2 linked regions of the Tamandua tetradactyla genome follow. The protein of the gene in region 1 interacts with the protein of each later gene in a biochemical or structural test. Links are inferred from orthologs where the notes say so. Each region holds a gene or a part of one and is shown on either strand. Other genes may lie near its edges.

What was found.
Region 2: of the proteins of CASP7 (region 1) and PANX1, one has a biochemical effect on the other in vitro, tested with the Homo sapiens proteins (2 studies listed by IntAct). The link is inferred for Tamandua tetradactyla from reciprocal best matches to the Homo sapiens genes CASP7 and PANX1.

Annotation. Positions count from the first base shown.
Region 1 is NC_135339.1:75,622,680-75,626,589, reverse strand, and holds the start of CASP7 (caspase-7), read right to left. Parts: upstream 2,264-3,910; 5' UTR 1,944-2,263; intron 1,640-1,943; exon of another isoform or gene 1,508-1,639; intron 796-1,507; 5' UTR 580-795; coding exon 568-579; intron 1-567. UniProt on the Homo sapiens protein: Thiol protease involved in different programmed cell death processes, such as apoptosis, pyroptosis or granzyme-mediated programmed cell death, by proteolytically cleaving target proteins.
Region 2 is NC_135334.1:48,832,432-48,836,341, forward strand, and holds the start of PANX1 (pannexin-1), read right to left. Parts: upstream 2,797-3,910; 5' UTR 2,356-2,796; coding exon 2,175-2,355; intron 1-2,174. UniProt on the Homo sapiens protein: Ion channel involved in a variety of physiological functions such as blood pressure regulation, apoptotic cell clearance and oogenesis.

The sequences.
Region 1 (3,910 bases):
ATGAATGTTTATCTTAACCATCTTTCTTATCCCCAGTCATGGAAAAGTGCCCGATCCAGGGCAGGCACTCAATACATACTACCTCATAAATCTTATACCTGGAATGTATTTGTAAATCCTTCAATGTCTTGAATAAACTGCTGACTCAGAGCAGACAAAAGAACTAAAAGAAACCCAGGAGGGTGGTTGAGACCCCAGGAGTGGTGAGTGGGATATGCTTCATAACTGCCCACATGTTGGGGCAGCCAGTATTTATTGTGGGTAGGAAATCATTTCCCAGTCACTGTCTGGAGTTGGAAGGCAGGGCATGCTCCAGGCCCAGTGTCTGAAATGGTCTATTAAAGCATGGGCATAGCTTATATACATCCTTCCTAGCCATTTGGACTTGGCTACAGAGAAGCGAAGTTTATACATATATATATAAAATAGAGACAGGGGATGGGCTCATTGCAGCTGCTTCTCCTGAAAGGTCATATAATATGATTTGCATCCCATTTCCTGATCCAATGAAGGCAATCTTCCCAAAAGGGCTCAAGAATAGAGGCCCTGAAGATCTCCTCCTCTCACCTCTAGCACCATGGGAGGGCTGCTGGGCAGGCAAATGCTCCACTGTCTCCTTGATCCTCATCACAACTAGAAGACTGTAGCCTTTACCCCTCGGTTTCTTCAGAGAGGTTCAGAGAGGTTAAGCGACTGGCTCAAAGCCACACAGTTAACCGGTGGCCAAAGATGGACTATGAATCTAGGAGCAGCAGCACGGAGAAGGAAGGTCAGGCCTGAGCTGTCTAGAAGGTCCTGAAGGGGGAAACCACCTGTTAGTAAATAAAGGTTAAAGGCCACTGTGGGCTGCTCTTAAATCCAAGGAAAAGGAATGGGAATGACTAATCTGGAACTACCCAGAGGCAATTTTCCTGCCCAATAAAACCGCACAGCTGAATACAACCGTAAGGGTTGCAAGGTCCCCTGCAGGCTGAGTGTCCATACACCTCCAAGGTCCCCTGCAGCCTGAGTGTCCATATCGCCTGCCTTTTCTCACCTCCCCAAGACACCTCCATGGGCCCTGCAGAAAGGTTACCCAACAATGGCAGTAGTTGGAGTGCACTTAGCAATGCACCAAATCACATCCTTCCGCATCAGCCCGGGATCACCAGTCTTACGAAGCACAGGGAGGGTCAGGGGACTGGAACCTAGGCTTTTCTGACCCCGGAGCCCTCGCTGTTAACCGCCCTGACAGATAACCAGCTCCTCCTCTTCCAGATCCCGAGCGTACGGGGTGTCCCAAGTCCCCGGCCAGGAGGAAAAGGAGGATCCGCTAACAAAGTACGCGACGCCGCAGCGCGGAAGATTCCTTCCCCGAAGCTTCAGCGCCTACCGTCGGGGCCGCCTTCCCCCCACCCGGCGCACTGAGCGGCGGGGGAAGTGCAAGAAACCCCGCGGGAAAGCCAGGGAGGAAGCGCGCCGCGGAGAGGCGCGGGCCGAGGCGGGAGGAGGCGGGAGGCGCAGTTACCTTTCCCACGACGGTCCCGACGGCCGGAGCTCGCAGCCTCCTCGTCCCTCTGGAGCGAGGGTCTGGGGCCGCTCTACCGAAAATGAAAGTAAAATCCCCAGCGCCGCAGAAGGAGGGGCCGCCCCGGGCAGGACGAGAAACCGGGCGGGGCTGCGGGCGCCGCCTGCGGTTCGGGAGAGTGCGCCCCGCAAAGCTCGGTCGCGCGCGAAGTGGCCCGGGCCACGCGAAGGGGCAGCAGGCCCTGCAGACTCGGCCGCGCGCCTCCCCATGCCACAGCGCCACGTCCCACGGCTGCCCCCTTGTCTGAGACCTCCACCCGGGGCCTCTGCACAGCGCGGGGCCCTAGCTCTCGCAGTCATTAGCTCTTGTCCAACCAGACCCTTGACCCCAGCCCGTGCGGCTCCGGTCCCGGTAGGGTGAGGCTCCGCGTGCATACCTGCCTGAGTTACTTTCTCCCTAGGCCGAGACCCCTCCGGCCCGCCGGGGGTGTGCTGTGGTGTCCGGCTTCCGGGACTTTGTTTCCACTCGCCGGTGTGCCCTCCTTCGCGCGTGGGCGCAAGGATGCTAACTCAGCTTTCTCTTAAGCAAGTCCCAACCCTCGCTTTACAGCGCGCTCGGCGCGCGGTGCAGCCAGGCTCATTCACGAAGTATTTATGGAGCGCCCTCATGTGTCAGGCACTGGGTATGTGGCCCTGAGGAAGTCAAGAATGAGAGGGACAGGGGCTTCCACTGAAACACCTCACCCCTGCCCCGACACCCCGCTACCCCTCCTCAGCGCACGCGCGCACGCGCAAACACACACGCGTCCTTCTTCACCCCTGGGTTTTCGTTGGAGCCCTCTAATGTCTTTCCCAAATCCCTCAGAGGAACAATTAATTACCTCAGGCACTGAAGTGTAACTATCTGGGAAGAAATTGTAGTTTTATTCGTACCGGAGAGATTGGCTTTTAAAGAACCATCAAAGCCCTGAACCAAAGGAGCTCAGCCTTCATGGTGGACTTCAGGCAAAAACCAGGTCTTGTCTCTGCCTGCTTTCTCCTAGGACTGAGACTTCACTGTTGTCTCTAAAATCTCACCAAGGGCACTTTCTTGGTTTGAAGAAAGACTGGCCTAGGTAAGTGCAAGGGAGTAATTAGTTATAATTAACTTCTGTGAAAATTCTGAATTCCTGAATATATTTACATGCAGCTATGCCGTTTCTAATGATTGCTGCACTGCTTTTTATTTAATACCCATTTCCTGAAATTTTGGAACCATTTTAGGCACTAAGATAATGAGCTTTTCAAAGGAATTCAGTTGTGAATCATTTGAGAAATGAAAAATGCTATTAATAAAGCAAATAAATTACTTTCAGCATGCGAATGTTAAAATATGTTAACACAGGAATTCATTGCTGGCCCAATTGGAAAGGTGGATTGAAGGAAAACTTTCTTTTCTCAGGTTTTTATTGTAGACTGGGGTGAGGAACGCCAAAGTTATTGGTCTGAGTCTGGATTATAGCCGTAGCAAATAAAATTACGGAAACGTGGAAGGGAAGAAATTATTTGAAACTTTTCCCTCAATAATAATTGAACTGATAGTTTTGATCCGTATGATATTCTCTTCTAAATGCATCTTCCGTGTCTCTCCATTCTTAGGCCAATTAATTATCTTCTCCTTTTTATATTTACATGATTATAACATGAGCCTTTTCTCTTCCCTCACTATTCTGATGGTTTCCTGAGACTTGGCCTCACAAGGGCCCCTCCACTTTTTGCTCACCAGGATATTGCCCTTAATTCTGGTGAGTCCCCCACTCCTGCCCTACTGGGCACAGCACCCCCAAGTGGTGCTACCAGGGATTGCTACTCACAGTTTCCACAGGACAGTTCAAGCCCAGCTGTGACTTTATACGTGACTCCACCAAGATCCCCAGAAATATCACTCTTAAATCCAAACTCTGGCCCTTGGGGGTCACCAGAAAGCCTCTATGAGCCCAGATGGGAATGAAAGTCCCACCAAGGAGGTATCTTCCCCACTTAGGGTCCAGCAGAATCCTTTTCTTCCCTGAAAGGAGGCATTCCTGTTATATCTGTCATTAATCTGTCATTAATTATTTGGAGCCTCTTGGCTCCAAATGCATCCTTTTTTCCTGGCTGTGAAAATGTAACTGGGCCCTTTAAGGATTTTTCCTTTCAGCCAAAGCCTGTTTCCAGTAGAGGGCGCTGGAGAGACATTGCGGGAGGAAGAGGTTTTCCTTCCTGGTCTCCTCCTGCAGCACGGTGCTCGTGCATCAGGAGTAGCTGCCCCAGCGCCCAGTTCCTGCAGCACAAGTGGCTTCTCCAGTGTCCAGGTCCTGTTGTGCCTAGTGGCCAGCAACACCTGGCCACACCCAGCAGCCAGCAACTTCCTCAGGCACCCCTC
Region 2 (3,910 bases), on another chromosome or scaffold:
GCCTAAAGTACTATGGTGCAAGTGCCTTAGGATTCCCTCTAATTCATAAGCCAGAGGTAGAGCTGGTCACAGAGGGTGATCAACTTCTCCAGGACAGGGACCACGTGTCATGCGTTCACAGCTGGTACTCTAGGAGCATCTGCTAAAGGAAGAGACTATCTTTAGGACCCATGCTACTTGGTGGTTTTCCTATCTACTGGATGCCTCCACCCCTGGTCATCGGGAAGGCAAAAGGAAACTCTGATGACTATGCTTGCCCAAACGCAAAGGAAACTGAAAACTTATGCTCCACAATGAATTTGGTAACTTCCTGCCGAACTGAACAATGTGGGGTGAAGATCACAAAATCAAACACACTGACACCCTTTTCTAACCAACTCTTCCCTCAATTTTACTATTTCTATCAACAATGCCATTCTCCACCCATCCAGCCCTGCAGGCTTTGCAGCAACTCTGACCAGTATATGCCCTGTGTTCCCTATTAAAAACTAGTTAATGTACTAGTTTTATATTAGAACTATAATATATAGTTATATTATAATATAATATAATATATTACCACTATTATAAAGAGTTAATAATAGAGTGGTATATGGGGGAAAAATACCTATTGTAAACTGTGAACTATAGTTAACAGTAATGGCTCAATGTTCTTTCATCAATAATAACAAATGCACCACACTGATATTAAGGCTCAATAATGGAGAGCATGGGATGATTTATTTTGGAGTAATGAAAATGTACTAAAACCGATCACGGCTATAAATGCACAACGATGTGGTGATATCACGAAGCACTGATTGTACACTTTGGATGGATTTGTATGGTGTGTGAATGTATCTCAATAAAACTGCTTTTAAGAAAAAGTGGAGGTACAAACAAACAAAACACACACATATACAACAAACTAATGACCCGAGGCCTGCTTATTGCTCTTTGATCTCTCACAAATCATCCATTCCCATCCTCTCCCTTCTACTCTTCATCCCCATCCATGCACAAGACTTCAACTGATGCCTCACCTTCTGCCTCCAGTTCCCTAGCTCCATTCTCCGCCCTCCTTCCACACAGCCTACACCACCACCAGGCTATTATTTACTAAGTTTTGGCCAGTCCATCCTTTGCTCAGATAACTTCCCACGTCTTCAACCATGACTGCTATCCTCTGTTCTAATCTGACCCAGGCCCATATTCACTCTCAGATCTGAAAAATCCAAACAAGTCCTCCTGCCTCCAGGAGGGCAGTCACTGTCTCTCCCCTTCCAGGAACACATACTTTTCCCTGCGTGTTCAAAATTTGCTATCCAAATCCTATCTGTGCTCCAAGGCTCCAGGCCAGCCCAACGTCCAATAAAGAGCTTTGCCCTCCGGGTAGGTGCACTGGCCTCTACCTCTTTTACTCCACTACACTCTTTCCGTGGCTTCATAAACACTCTCCTGTGCTGAAAGAACAGATGAGGAAGAAAACCAGAAATTTATCAGTTACTTGATCCTGCCCAACCCACGAGCCTTTCATATCTCCCAGAATTGTTATTAGGATCAAATAAGAACTTATATAAAGGTGACTTGTTCATCTCACGTTCATAAAAACACCGTCCAGTCGGCGGATGTTGGTATCCCTCCGAGGCCTTGTCAAGCGCAGGTGTTGCCTATCAGTCCCAACTCTGCATGGCTGAGTCCCAGCAAATAGCAATTACTCGTAAAACAGCGAGAGAACACTCTTTACGTGGAGCACTTTTCTGTGCACACTCCATTTACTCCCACGGGAACTTCTTTGGCCCCAAATTTTATGTGACTGCACAAACGCGTGTGTGTGAAAAGAGAGAAGGCGGGTGTCCTCTGCTAATCCGATGGCAGGTGGAACAGGAACACTACAGTTGGGACAAAGCGGGCGCAGGAAACAAGAGCTGAGTAGTGGGGATGGAACGCAGGAGGCTGCAACGGCCGGGCACAGGGTCCACAGCACAGAGTTACAAATGAGGCCACGGGTAAAGAGTGCTTCTCGGACCGTAAAACCGGGGCTACCTTCCTTCTCAACGCGCACGCCACCGCAGCGGCCAGCAAGCCGAGATTCTGGCCGGCGCTCAGTAAAATCCCATCTTGCCAGTCTAAGACAGCCCTGATAAGGCGTGCCGGGCCTCCTCCGCCCCGCCTGCCCTCGCCCATGGCCTTACCTATGGAGATCTCCTGAGCGAAGGCCAGCGAGATGAGCAGCAGCGGGAGTCCCACGGCGATGCACGTGACCATCTTGTCCACCGCCAGCTCCAGCCGCAGACCCTTGAACTTGGACTCCGCGGGCTCCTTCAGCAAGAAGTCTGAGAACACATACTCGGTAGCCAGGTGGGCGATGGCCATGGTTGCGGCGCGCCGGGTTCAGTTCGGCAGGCCCACGAGCGTAGGCCCGCGCACCGCCGGCGTCGGGAGAGCGGAGCGGCGCCTTCACCGGGTCACCGGCGGGGCCCGCGGCTTTCGCTTTTCCTTTGCCGACTCTGCAGCTGCCCCATCCTGCCTGCCTTTGTGTCTCGGCGCGCCAGAACTCCCAGCTACCCGCGCTGGGGATGCAGCTGCCCCTGCTCGACTCGCTGGGTGCCGGGGCAGGCGCAACGCGCGCACCTTCCGGGCTCCGCGCCTCTCCCGAGTCCGCAGGCTCGAGAATCAACTGGGGCACAAAGCCCTGGCCACTCCGCTCCTCCCCAGCGGCCGGTGCAGCGTCCCGGCCGGCCGGTTCGCTCTCTCTGCCGCTTCGCCCCACTCTTCCGGAACCATCCGGAGAAACCGAGTACCCAGGGGCGTGGAGTTTCCGGAAACCGCGGTGACGCGGGTAGGGGTGGGCGCGCCAGCATCCAGCGTACGGATCCTCCCACTAAGGGGGGGATCTTCCCATTAAGCGGCCTTTCTGAAAATTTCTCCTGCCCTTCCCATCTTCAATCTTCCTACTTCCTGGCACCGGGATTATTGAAATCATTTCTGACAGCGACCTCTTATTTATTTAGACAGGATGGTCTCTTTACACCCTAGCCCTACCATTTCTATACCGTGAAATCACGTCAAATTGAGTTGCAAAAGCCTCAAAGAAGAAAGGATGCCTTAAAAGACGAATCAAACAGGGTAGAACGAGGGAGTGAGAAAAAGGGAGCGCTGGGCCCTCTGATGAGCTCTGCGCTTGAGAGGAAGGTGAGGAAGGTGCAAGGACACTGGGGAACGCTGCAATGACTAGGTATCAGGGCTCAACTAGCGCTGCTCTTGCCGGGTGCTTCCTGTGCCTCCCGGGTCAGAGCCTAGGCCCGGGAGCCAGCGGAGGGGTGTCTGCGTAGAAGGGGGTGAACCACTTATAGGAAATGGATGATGAGTAAATGCTGTAACAGCATTTGAAGCAGACAGGATCTTTCAACATGAGGGCTACTTAAGGCCAGCTGGGCTGCCTTCCCTTCTCTTTGTACTTGGGCTTTTCCATGTATGCAAGCATCCTCTGTATACTCTGGACTCCCACAGGTACATCTCCACCCCTGCTTCTCCTCCCATTACACACCCAGTGGCCTAAACTGCCCTCCACTTGAGTGAATTGTAGGACTTGAAAGTCCTATTGACCAGGACTGTAATTCTTATCTTCCTCTCGAACTGCAACTCTAGTCTTCTCCATCTTACTAAATGTACTATCATCCACCCACCCACCCCAGCCAGAAACGTGGAACCTGTCTTTAATGCTTCCCTTTCTCCCATTGCCATAACCAATTTACAAATTTTCTTCTCCTAAATATCACAAATCTGACAGCTCTCCATCTATACTCCCAACACCCCAGTTCAAGCTCCCATCCTCTCCTAATCACATAAACAAATGTTTCTTTCCCCAAAGCCTCTGGTGTTATTTTGCAAGGCTACTACAACAAACACCACACAATGACCTTAAACA